Linked DNA regions of Xenopus tropicalis. The protein of the gene in region 2 interacts with the protein of the main gene of each other region in a pairwise test. Links are inferred from orthologs where the notes say so. Each region holds a gene or a part of one and is shown on either strand. Other genes may lie near its edges.

Region 1 (6,168 bases), about 12 Mb from region 2:
GCTGAAGAGACTTCTAACATCCTTATGCTTAAACACTTTCAGTGCCAGGCTCATTTAGGTCAGGAAGCAATGGGCTGACTTACTAGATGGCATTTCAGGGATATCTACGTAAGAGAGCTCTACGCACACCCACATTCCACCCCCTTACTCCCTCCGGCCTAAAATCCCCAGTAAAAGGCTTGTCATTCACTCATACATACAGTCTTTATTTTAGCAGTGCCCCCTGAAGCTACTCAGCCCACATCCAGTAATTCTGTGACTGTACATATGAGTCAAAGTTACATTCTGTGTGTAAAGAATTCCCTCTTAGCAATCGCTTTAGATGAAAAGCAATGAATGTGAGAGGCAATTAAGCCTATAAATAGAAACATTGATAAAAGATTGGCTGGGGCTCCAGAACAGGATCTGACAGCTACGTGATTCGCAGAAGGAATATATCCATTGATTCCATTCAGGGTGGGACAAATAAAGAAGCTGGAAACGGCTTCTTGTAGCCCATAAGGACATGTTTACCGTCCTTATGGGTTTTTTTTTTTCTTTAGAAGCACAGGCCTCATTACATCTCTTCACGGAATCCCAACGATGAGCATAAACACAGGGCTGAACATCTACATGAGAAAGCCTGAACTTGCTGAACTACAAATCTCAGCGTGCCCCAATGCCTGAAGGCAAATAATACTGACATCTTGAAACATAAAGGTGGAAGCTATAGAGTTCAGGTATTAGGCTGAACCAGGTTATCCAGTTAAGCAACATAATACTTAAAAAATGACATGCACGTTAATTGCCTGCTGTAATGAACGTCCTGTTAGACTATTAACAGAACCTACAATTTATGGAGGGTAAATAGTAACGTGACCATGGCAGTTTTTTCATGAGCCAACAAAATTGCTTATCATATTTGACACTGCCTTTGCTAATAGAAGAACTTCTATTATCTGGGATGCTTGGAGCAGGTAGTAGGGGGTACAGATATAGAGGTCTGAGTTAAGCTGCTGATTCAGGTCCTTCAGACCCATTCAGCAGCTTCTCTGCCTGTGTATGGGGACCCCTGACCTATATCTGACCATAAATTGGGCAGATGTCGATTAGGAAGGTTTGATTTTCCCATCAGATCGGCGACTTCATTGACTTATTGATGTGTTCTTTGCTCTGAGGGGCCTTTTCCTGTCATTGTAAATCGATCATTTGGACCTCGCCAAAAACTCTATTAGATATGGCAGGGCAGTCCAACTGGAGGGCTATGGGCTGGATGTGGCCCTCCAAAAGATATTTAAGGCCCAAAGTCTGCTTAAAGTCTTCATAGACTTCACTGTATGACATCATCATTTTAACTGCACTGAGCTATGGGATACAGTGTTTATTTATAATAAATCATATTTATAATAAGGCACCCAAGGGCCAGTGCCTAGGGTGGGCGGTCCTTGGGTGCCTATATTTTTTTGGGGGGATTTAAAACAAAAAAAATGCCCCCAGCCTCTGCTGCTGATTCCCATAGGAAAACCGGTGACGGATCTGGGCAGTAGGCGGTCGTGGGCCACTTCCGCAACAGCGATGCGTGTGACATCACAGGCACGATGTAGAGGCATGTTAACCCACTGAAACCAACCGCATGTCTGCTTTTATTACTCTAAAATGGTTAGAATTATAAAACAGATGTCCGATTGGTTGCTATGGGTTTAGCTGGCCATACATGGGCTGATAAAACTTGGCCACCAATGGGCCTTTCAAACCGCTATCTGCCCGAAAATCAGATTTCTATTGGGCAAATTTGATTTTCCCATCCAATAAGGAGCACATTAGCCTTAGGACCCGCCATACGATCGTTGGCCCAGATCTGCTCAGCAGATATATGCAGTCTATATCCAGCTTTACTGATCTGCATCCTACATAACCCTCATATCCATTATCCAAGGCTGATTCATATCACAAGCAGCAAACGGAATTCTTTCAATATTTTTTTTATTCTTATTTATACACATGAAATGTATCAGTATATACACACATCAGCTTTTTATATTTATATAGTTTTTTTTTGTACATTTTCTCATTGCAGTATAGAGAGGGGAAGTCTCATTTACCCTCTCACCGTTTTACGTTCCATCAGGAGAACAACAAAAAGATTAAAATAACTAAAAACAGAAAAAGGAGACTTTAGCGAGACAGAAAACTGAAGTCTAACTCTGTACAGCTATTAACAACCCCCCCCCGACCCCCCCTAGTCACTCCGTATTCATGATTATCAATCACTATAACACTCAAGAAAATCAGATTTATGCCAGAATTTGGCAGATTAAAAGAATAAAATAAATCGTACAGGTAGAAAGAATCGGTTACACACAAGTATCTCCATTTTCGAGAGAACTGATTTTTTTTTTCTCTTTTGTATCTTGCTGTTTACTAAAATCTACAAATAGCGAAAGTTAATGGTGTTGTTGCTATGGCCAACGACCAGCGGCTACAAGAAGTGCAAGCGGAGGCATAATAACAGTGGGCCTAACAGCAGGTATATATTTTGCCCCCCTAAAAAAGAAACAGTAAACCACGTGAGTAAGCCCATTGGCCAGCACTGGTTTGATGTTATACTAAAAAGCTGCCATGTTGTTATTACTTGTGACCGCAGTGAATTCCTCTGGACAACAGAAGGAGCTCTTAAAGTGCTTCCATGATTACACACTGGAAATCCTGATAAACCGTAAAGCAGGAAACTGTAGTGGATATCTGTGAGTGCTGCAGTTTTTTGAACAAAGGGTTAACCTCAAAGGTTTATTGTCCCCTTTACTCCCTAAGCTCCACTGATGAGACCAGACAATATAGACCCAAATGATAAAATTATGGGCTCCATTTTGTGATGGAACGCCGATATTAATACCCTTTGTACTTTCAGTGGTCCTCGGGCCCCTAAATGTCCACATTTCTATAATTTGTGCCCCTGTTTGCAACCTCACAAATATGAGCCACAAAAACTCTATCTACAGTTACACAAAAGGGCAAACCTTTGTTGCAGGAAAGTGTGTTACACATGGGGCACCCCATTTTTACTGCGTGTGTGTAACCAGGAGATTCTGCATAGCAGCGGAAGGTTGATTGCGTGCAAGCATGAAATCTTACATACAGGCATGGGGGGTATGAATGTGTGCACAGAAATAAGTGTGCGCATACACACATTGCATTAACAAGCGTCCAAAGCATGGTGGAATGCTCGTGTAACAGTATTTGTGCGAGGCAGTACTTGTGCAAGAATGATTTGTTGGTATCTACAGGCAAGAAGTGTGGTTAAAATCACATGTAAGTGTCAATATGCAAGAGTGTGTCTGTGCATAGCCGTGTTGGATGTGTGTTGGCGTGCGAGCGATTGTGCATCCTCAGGACATCAGTGGCCGAATGTTTCCTGCGAGGCATACACCATGTACAGGAAGCCGTCCTCATCCTTCTCCTGTTCGTAGATATCCAGTATTGGGGTGGAGACACTCACCATGCTGTGCTGGTTAACAAGCAGGAAGAAGGCCTGGGTGGGGTTCAATTGCAGCCTGCGTCTGGCAAAGGGAGGGAAGCAATTATCAGGCAATTTGCTCCCTGACTGAGAGAAGAACTGGCAATAGCTCTGTTATATAACTACAAGGATGTGCAACGGTGAGGGCATGTATACAGGATGAGGCAGACCTGCTCCTTACAAGGTAGAAGTATCCAGGGAGTTACAAGGTGGGTTATATAGAACAAAGGTATAGGTAGGGTTATATGGAGCAATAGGAGGAGTTATAGGGAGGGGTATATGGAGCAATAGGAGGAGTTATAGGGAGGGGTATATGGAGCAATAGGAGGAGTTATAGGGAGGGGTATATGGAGCAATAGGAGGAGTTATAGGGAGGGGTATATGGAGAAATAGGAGGAGTTAAAGGGAGGGGTATATGGAGCAATAGGAGGAGTTATAGGGTGGGGTATATGGAGCAATAGGAGGAGTTATAAGGAGGGTTATATGGAGCAATAGGAGGAGTAATAGGGAGGGTTATATGGAGCAATAGGAGGAGTAATAAGGAGGGTTATATGGAGCAATAGGAGGAGTAATAAGGAGGGATATATGGAGCAATAGGAGGAGTTATAAGGAGGGTTACATGGAGCAATAGGAGGAGTAATAGGGAGGGTTATATGGAGCAATAGGAGGAGTAATAAGGAGGGATATATTGAGCAATAGGAGGAGTTATAGGGAGGGGTATATGGAGCAATAGGAGGAGTTATAGGGAGGGGTATATGGAGCAATAGGAGGAGTTATAGGGAGGGGTATATGGAGCAATAGGAGGAGTTAGAGGGAGGGTTATATGTAGCAACAGGAGGAGTTATAAGGAAGGGTATATGGCGCAATAGGAGGAGTTATAAGAAATAAAATGAGATATATGGAAAGTTAAATGGAGCAATTACAAGAGTTAGTTATATATATATATATATATATATATATAGAAATATACATAATAGGAAGAATGGTTTACCTTATGATTTTCACTAGTTCACTCATATTCACATGATCTGGAACAAGGAATTTTGTTTTATCCAACACAGGCAGCTGCTTCTCCCCCTTGTATCGCTCTATAATAACCTGAAACAACAAAAGAGACCACTTAGAATACCCCCCCCAACCACAGACCAGACAACCTTATCTTTCTGCCATTCAAAACCTGTGAGGCTACACGCAACTGGCAATATGGCAGCTAACATGTAAACATATATATATATTTTTTTCCCTGAGGAAGAGCACAGTTAGTGCTCGAAACGTTGGATCTCTTTGCTTAAATAAACTTACTATATTTTTGCCAAGTCCTGGTGAGTGCAGCTCTTTTTTCTTGCTATATATATATATATATATATATATATATATATATATATATATATATATAATGAAAAAGAAGGTTCTTTTAACAAATAGCTATGTCATCATACTGTTTTGCTTGTTCTGTACCCTTAGAAACCACATTCACATGTAAGACACAGTGTTCTTATCCTCTTTCCTTTTAATTAGATTCTGTGATTAGATTTAACCAAGGTCTCTTCATCTCCACCCTGAGAAACAGAAACAAATTCTTTCCAATATACTAGGGACAACCAACCTTCAATAAATTTTCTGAAAAAGATATTTACATATACAGTACAACCATTCAGGGGTTATGCACTTCGGTGCATATATGTCAGCCCATACATACTTTATATTATATATACAGGTATAGGACCCATTATCCAGAATGCTCGGGACCAAGGATATTCCGGATTAGGGGTCTTTTAGTAATTTGGATCTTCATACCTTAAGTCTACTAAAAAAAATCAATAAAACATTAATTAAACCCAATAGGATTATTTTGTATCCAGTAGAGATTATTTATATCTTAGTTGGGATAAAATACAAAGCACTGTTTTATTTTTACAGAGAAAAAGGAAATCAATTTTAAAAATCTGAATTATTTGATTAAAATGGAGTCTATGGGTGACGGCCTTTCCGTAATTCGGAGCTTTCTGGATATCGGGTTTCTGCATAAGGGATCCCATTCCTGTATATATTACCAGAAGGGTGGCTCACCACTTTAATTAAATACCCAGGTGCACAGTAAAAATATAACACATCATATTAAAAAGACCAGCAACACTGGGATTTCTGTGCAAATCAAAAAAGTACATTTAAATCCCAGTGTTGCTGGTCTTTTTTATATGATATATATGATTATATATATATATATATATATATATATATATATATATATATATATAAATTCCAGCTTATGTATGCCACAAATTCCCCTGAACATTGTTGCTGAAAGGCTCTGTATAAACACATACTTGACAGGTATATAACTGGACGCCCAAAGTGCTTACAGCTAATCAAAAAAAGTACATTAAAGCCCTAAACACTGCTACGCAAATATATCACATAAGCCAGTCTTTAGTTATAGGAGCATTTCATATCAAAAATCTATATTATATATATTTCTAACAGTATGTGCCATATAGAAAACACTGCCATTTTAGACACTGCACTCACACACAAACCAATGACACGCACACATGCTAGGTACATCAGCCAATGAACGGCCAGAGGTGGGTCTTGTACTCCTGCCACAGTTAGAATGGCTTTCCTGTTAGGAGTTCAGTGAGGGAACAGAGCACCAGAGAATGGTTTGTTTCCAG
Region 2 (6,368 bases):
AGAGTAAAAATCCGGACTGCAACTTTAAAGTTGAAATTATTATTTTCCTGTGCATGTGTGTTATCGGGACAGTTCAGATCTCTGGGACAACAGGAATAATGTGGGTGCTGCCGGAACAGTGCCCCCAGCTGATGCATTTTTCATTGTGGTGAAAATGTAAAAAGTGCAAAATAATTTGGTTATTCAACTATCTTTTTTTTATTTACTTGCAGGTTTTTTGCCCTGACCTCTCTCAGAATCATATTTTTGGTAGCATTTGGACTAATGATAATCATTTGTGCAGATCAGTGGAAGAACAAACTGTGGCCTGAACTGGGAGGTAAGGAGAATTCTTGATATTATCTTCCCTTGCTGTCACTGAAAACTTGATATACTTCTATCTATACAAGATTCCACGTGTATATATGCAACTCTTCTTTCCTATATGAGCTCTCACATACTCTTTACTGGCCAGGGCAAAACTGAAAGCAGTATTCTGCAAAGCCGTAGTTCTAATTGCAGTCTTCCAGTGAGCTTATCTTCTCACAGCAAAGCCAGCCCTGGGCTATAAAGGCTAAGATATGGATAAGTCCCCATATTTCCTGCATAAGTATCATGCAAATAAACACAGGTCTCTTGTTGGTGCTGCTTAGAAACTTTCTTTCTGATGCTTTCAGCATGATTACATACTTTATCAGAGTTATCTGTTATGAACATGAAACGCTATCGGAGCACACATATTGGTCAGGACTAAATCGAAAGCCATATGATTATGCCATTTAGCTTAACAAACAGGTCTGCTTATAGCAAATCAGCCCCTGGGCAACAAAGAAAAACTAAATACATACAGTTTTTATAATGTCCTTTCACTGGAACCAAGGTTTCCTGAAGTTTGCCACAGTACAATAGTTCTCCAACATCCATGGGGTGGTTATCATGGTTAAACCTTGATATAGACAAGATTTCAGACTTGTCTATACATACCAATTAACAAAGGGGTGACCATTCCTAAAGAATTTGGAAAGTGTTAAGGTGGCCATACACGTGGCGATCCGACGATGTTTCGTACGACCATCGGTCGCACGAAACATCGTAAGATCCGCCACACACCATTCAGGGCTGAATCGGCAGGTAAGGAGGTAGAAACAATAGGATTTCTACCTCCTTTTGCCGATTCAGCTCTGAAGGGAGAATTTTGGTCAGGCGCCTTCTATGGCGCCCGATCAAAATTTTCAAACTTGTCCGATCGGCGAGTCGTCCGATATCGGCAGCTTCCTGCGATATCGGTCGACTCGCCGACATGCCATACACGCACCGATTATCGTACGAAACGAGGTTTCGTACGATAATATCGGTGCGTGTATGGCCACCTTTAGTCTTCTTACAAGGTGAATTGTCTTTTAAGGGGACACGTTTAGTTAAGCCCATGGCATGTAAACATAGGTTAGATCATGAGCAATACTTAATGCAGACCCTTCTAGCAAAACCCCATTAAGGACTTTCACTGGTAAGACTTTTCTTTGTTCCATTGCACCACCTACCTACCAATTCTGCCCCTGTAAAGAGACAGTACAGAATATATAATATACCTGGTGCTTTAAAAGATACAATATTCAAATTAGTTAATTAGTTCTCACTATTTCTGTTTGTGTTTTTTCAGCAGCAAGAGCCAGTGAACTGGAGAATGAAAGGTGAGATAGTTATACCTTACTGCCTTATTGCTTTCTTGGCCATACCAGTTCTTCTAGAACTAGCCACACCTTACCTACCTTAGTTATGAGAAAGTGAGAGTTGTAGTTCTATGCCACCCCTAGCAGATGCTTCTGGGGTCTGACTGAGGTTGATGCCAGACAGCTGAAACATTTATGCTTTTTATGTTCAGCTCCGTTTTGCTTTATCTCTTTTATACTACTACATGCTATATATAATAGTAATATATACATACTATATATAATATGTCACATAGATTTGTGGAGACCTATTATGAGAGAACAGGACATCAGATTAGACTGCATAGACATTTAGAGCGAGAAGACGTGATTTCTTATTGCTTTTGGTGACACCAGGAAGAATTATTACTTATATCCCCAGACAACTAACATATAAATGTGTATATTCAATTATTTACCGTAGCCCTATAATATTAAATTTAAAATTTTCCATTTTTTGTTTGGCTGTTTGATTTGTGCCTGTGGCATTGCACATGCTCCGTGTGCTCTGGTTGTTTGACATTATCAAAAAATTAGCAGAAAAGGAGGTTCAGGGGCATCCAGACATCCACATAATTCACATGCACTGGTTTCTATACTGCCATGTAAATCTGAGCCTTGTACTGTGCATATACTGTATATTGTTCCTAAGATCATGTAACTGACTGCAAGCCAGAACATGTGATCCTTGGGCATAAAGCTGAAAACATAAGATCTAGCATCTCTAGACTATTTCTTTAACTTTTAGGTCTTTTTGTTCTACTTACTACATGTTAAAAGATTTGTTTTCATGATGAGTTTTGGTGTGTTTCAGCTGGGGCTATGTGCATCCAAGGCTGCTCAGCGTCCCAGAGCTGTGCTATCATGCAGCTGATACATGGGTCAGTGTCTACAACTTTTTAAGGAATCTTCTGCTCTTCAAAACTGAAAATCCGGGCAAGGTAATTCAAATTTTGTGTACTATTCTGAACGCCTCAAACTATTTTACCTGGTTTTATATGGACAAATGACCTGTTTCTCTAAGGCTGTTGAAATGGTGATTCCCCCCACCCCACAGGCATCTATCAAAATAATTAAAATATGGTTTCTTGCATCCAAAAGAATTATAGAGTTTTGTAGGCTTTCAAGCCAACCAAACAAGAAGGCCATTGAGGTGGTAGGAAGAATTGGGCTCAGCAATTGGATCACCATAGAGGTATTTGCATCACTGCATCCAGAATCCGATGCAGTCGGTCGTTGCCCAGTGGAATTTTTATAGATATCTGGCAGATTGTCAGTCAGATGTTGTTTAGGAAGGGTGTCATTTTGGCCCATATACACAGACCAGTAATTGTTAGTTTGCAATTTGAAGAGTCGTTATCCATTATAGGCATGTGTGACCTGCTTTTATGGAATGTTGTCCATATCATTCTAATATAGTGGCTGCTTTAGGACTTACACCCAAACACACTACTAGTGTGTGTACTGACTACTATTTGATATAAATAAATAAGGTAGACCAACCAAGAAGAGGTTTGGGCCAAAACTGATGGATGAATGCCTCTTATGTTGCATGTATTTGTCGACTGATGTAAACCTATTGCTTGTTGTGTCTTTTCATATACAGTTTTGCCTTTTGGCCTGCAGCTTTCTGACTTTCCTAGCTGTTCTTGGTGGATACATTCCTGGTGTTGTGCTGTCATATTTGCTTTGTAAGTTGAATATTTTCATTTGTATTAATGGTCATTTGTACCAAAAAGCATATTTACAGTAAGATCTGGCGAACAAGGAGTTCATCCCTACATTATACTAATTACAAACCCTTTACTTGAACATGAACCTTTCAGTAGTTTAGAAAATCCTATTAAAACAGGTAAAACCAAATAACAATATGTACTTCTGCTTTCTGCTCTCGCTTCTGGCTTGACCTACTGTTCAGTCTAGAGGTAGTCCTGACAGAGGTTCATGTTGAATGTGATAAAAATATATTTCACAAGCTTTTTGAATACTGAAATCTCTGTTTTTCAAACATCAGACATATAACAGTAGATAGGTATGCCATCAGTGCCTTACCCTGTTGGGCAAGAAAAAACATTCTTCTCATTATGCTGTTTGCTTTGTTTTTTTTTTTTGCCACCCCACAGTACTTTTTCTTCTGCTTTGGCCTCTTGCTATATATCACCAGCTGGGGCGGCGTATATACCAGAAGCTGGAGCCAGCCCTGCAGCGGCTAGACTTCAGTGTGCGTGGCTATATGATGTCCAAGTATAAGGAAAGGCAAAGTAAGTGGCTATGATAAAACCCTTCTAGCTTGGATATTGTGTGAAGTATGCTTGTTTATTTCAGTTTGCAGTAAAGATTTTGATTTATGGACCTATTAATGTAAGACATACGACCAGTTGATTAAGTTTACTTTAAATAGGAGTGTGTATTGTCCTTTTAACTGCTGCTAACTGAAGTAACCAAGATTTGGGACTGAGGCCTATCTAAAGCTGCCTGCACAGTTTAGTGGGTCATTAGCAGCAGCCCCACTAAATCTCACAGATACAGCATTATTAAGGTAGGTTTGGAAAGACCAGATGTACCAGACACTGCATAGGTGGCTATATTAACAGTTGCTCAGCACAATGCTGCTCTGGCGTACTCATAAGTGTGTGCTAGTGAATGGATGGGTTTAACTCATATATTATTGGCTACCTTATATTTTGTTTTCTAAATATATACCACTTGCACATATTTCTGCTTATTTTATTCATGTGAAAAACTGCTCTCTATATTTCTAATTTCAGAGCATAATCGTGCCCTTCCTCCAACTGATGCTAGTGACAGTGAAGAAGAGCTTGCAGCATTTTGTCCTTCGGTAAAAGTACAATTTTCTAAATAAAAAAAAATTATACAGTTGTCATTATTATCCTTACTAGTAGGGATAGGTTAGCACATTGCTGTTATACATCTTGTAGCCCAATGAACCAACCATACGCTGGTGTCCCCTTCTGTAACCACACAGAACCCAGTTTAGAGGGAACATTGCCTGACCCACCTCCAGCCTATGTCCTACTCTCATAACTATAAGTGTGTTATTGTTTGGCCAAAGGGACTGTTTGTATGTGTATGAATCCATTGGGATTAATACATATGTAAATACAGTAGACAGTGTCTAGGGAAAAAAACAACATTTATTGCAGATCTTGAGTAACTATGGCCTTTAGCTGAAGTTTCTGAAAGCCCTGTGTTATAATGGAGATATTTTCATTGTGTATTTTTATTAATAATTCTCCATTGCGTGTTTGATTTCCAGCTGGATGATTCAGCAGTAGCTAAAGAACTGACCATTTCCGACTCCGAGCATTCAGATGCAGAAGTTTCCTTCACTGAAAATGGGACATTCAACTTATCCAGGGGCCAAACACCTCTTACAGAAGGTTCTGAAGGTAAAAAAACAAGCAAAGATTTATGTCTCCTCTCTGTATATGAGAATATTCACAGCAGAACTTGCAAAATAGCAGAATTTGTGTTAAAGCGCCCGATGCTTTGGGTGTGAAATACAGAATATGCTGCCTAGTAACGAACAATGCTGATAATGCTCACAGCGGCTGGCTCTAGCAGATTGCACTCACTTTAGTTGTTAGGGTAACACCCTGGTCTTTAGCAACCAATGAACTGCTGGTTTTATTATTTTTAATTTACTACTGAATAGATCCCTACACATATTTACAAATAGTTTTAAACTGTTTAATCCTTTACAGATTTGGACCGCCACAGCGATCCAGAGGAGTCATTTGCTCGTGATCTCCCTGACTTTCCTTCGATAAACCCAGATGCAACGGGAATAGAAGATGATGATGAAACTAGCATTGGCATACCAAGCACAGCTCTTCACCCGCAATTCTCCTCTCGCCAGCTGTATGAGGAGCAAGAGTCACTGGATGCAGAGCTGTCACTGGGCGGATTTCCGAGCACTCAGAACATAACGGAAAACATTGCTGGATTTGTGACCAGGGGCATGATACAGCTGGCACTTGCAGGGGCCAGCCAGCAAACCCACGCTTATGCTGAAAGTCCTAGAGCCAAACAGTATCAGAGAAACTCCAGCTCTGAGCTGGACACTGACGCAGAAGCCGATGACTTTGAACTACTTGACCAGTCTGAGTTGAGCCAGATGGACCCATCGAGTTCACATTCCCACCAGTAACGCAAGCAATCATGATGGGATAAGGGCTGGAAGTTCTTCCTAACTACACAGAAAGCTGCGTTTTATTGTTATTACTATTGGTGGTTTTGGAGGTTTATTTTTGTTTTGCCCTTCAGGAATCTTATTTCTGCCTCCTCATTGGGCTCAGGCGTGTGGACTTCATTTCTTATTGCAGACTGATATATCGTCTGCCGTTTTATCACTGTGAAGTCTGTACCAGTAGTGAATCTAGAATAAATAAATACACACTATTTTAAAGGTGATTTCTACAGGATAAGGAGATCCATTTGTTAAGTAGACGTGTAATTATTCTTTGGATTCATAAACAACTAGTGTTTTTTTTTTTTAAATTGTATTAATTGTGTTGCCCATTTATCTGTTTTTACAGACAAAATGTTCAGTGTTTGTTATCCTAATGGTATAACGGAGAGGAATGTGATATCTAGTTCCTATGGATTTGCACTGATAAAATCTTGCTTTAGCACTTAAAAAGACCAGCAATATGAACA

What was found. The genes of interacting proteins can lie anywhere in the genome.
Region 1: the proteins of retreg3 (region 2) and map1lc3a interact in binary tests that used the Homo sapiens proteins (3 or more experiments, as listed by UniProt). The link is inferred for Xenopus tropicalis from reciprocal best matches to the Homo sapiens genes RETREG3 and MAP1LC3A.

The regions. Positions count from the first base shown.
Region 1 is NC_030686.2:41,163,251-41,169,418, forward strand, and holds the end of map1lc3a (microtubule-associated proteins 1A/1B light chain 3A), read right to left. Parts: intron 4,592-6,168; coding exon 4,485-4,591; intron 3,537-4,484; coding exon 3,374-3,536; 3' UTR 1,946-3,373; downstream 1-1,945. UniProt on the Homo sapiens protein: Ubiquitin-like modifier involved in formation of autophagosomal vacuoles (autophagosomes). While LC3s are involved in elongation of the phagophore membrane, the GABARAP/GATE-16 subfamily is essential for a later stage in autophagosome maturation.
Region 2 is NC_030686.2:29,106,965-29,113,332, forward strand, and holds part of retreg3 (reticulophagy regulator 3), read left to right. Parts: intron 1-212; coding exon 213-319; intron 320-1,639; coding exon 1,640-1,670; intron 1,671-2,502; coding exon 2,503-2,629; intron 2,630-3,294; coding exon 3,295-3,379; intron 3,380-3,811; coding exon 3,812-3,949; intron 3,950-4,456; coding exon 4,457-4,527; intron 4,528-4,965; coding exon 4,966-5,098; intron 5,099-5,413; coding exon 5,414-5,859; 3' UTR 5,860-6,368. UniProt on the Homo sapiens protein: Endoplasmic reticulum (ER)-anchored autophagy regulator which exists in an inactive state under basal conditions but is activated following cellular stress.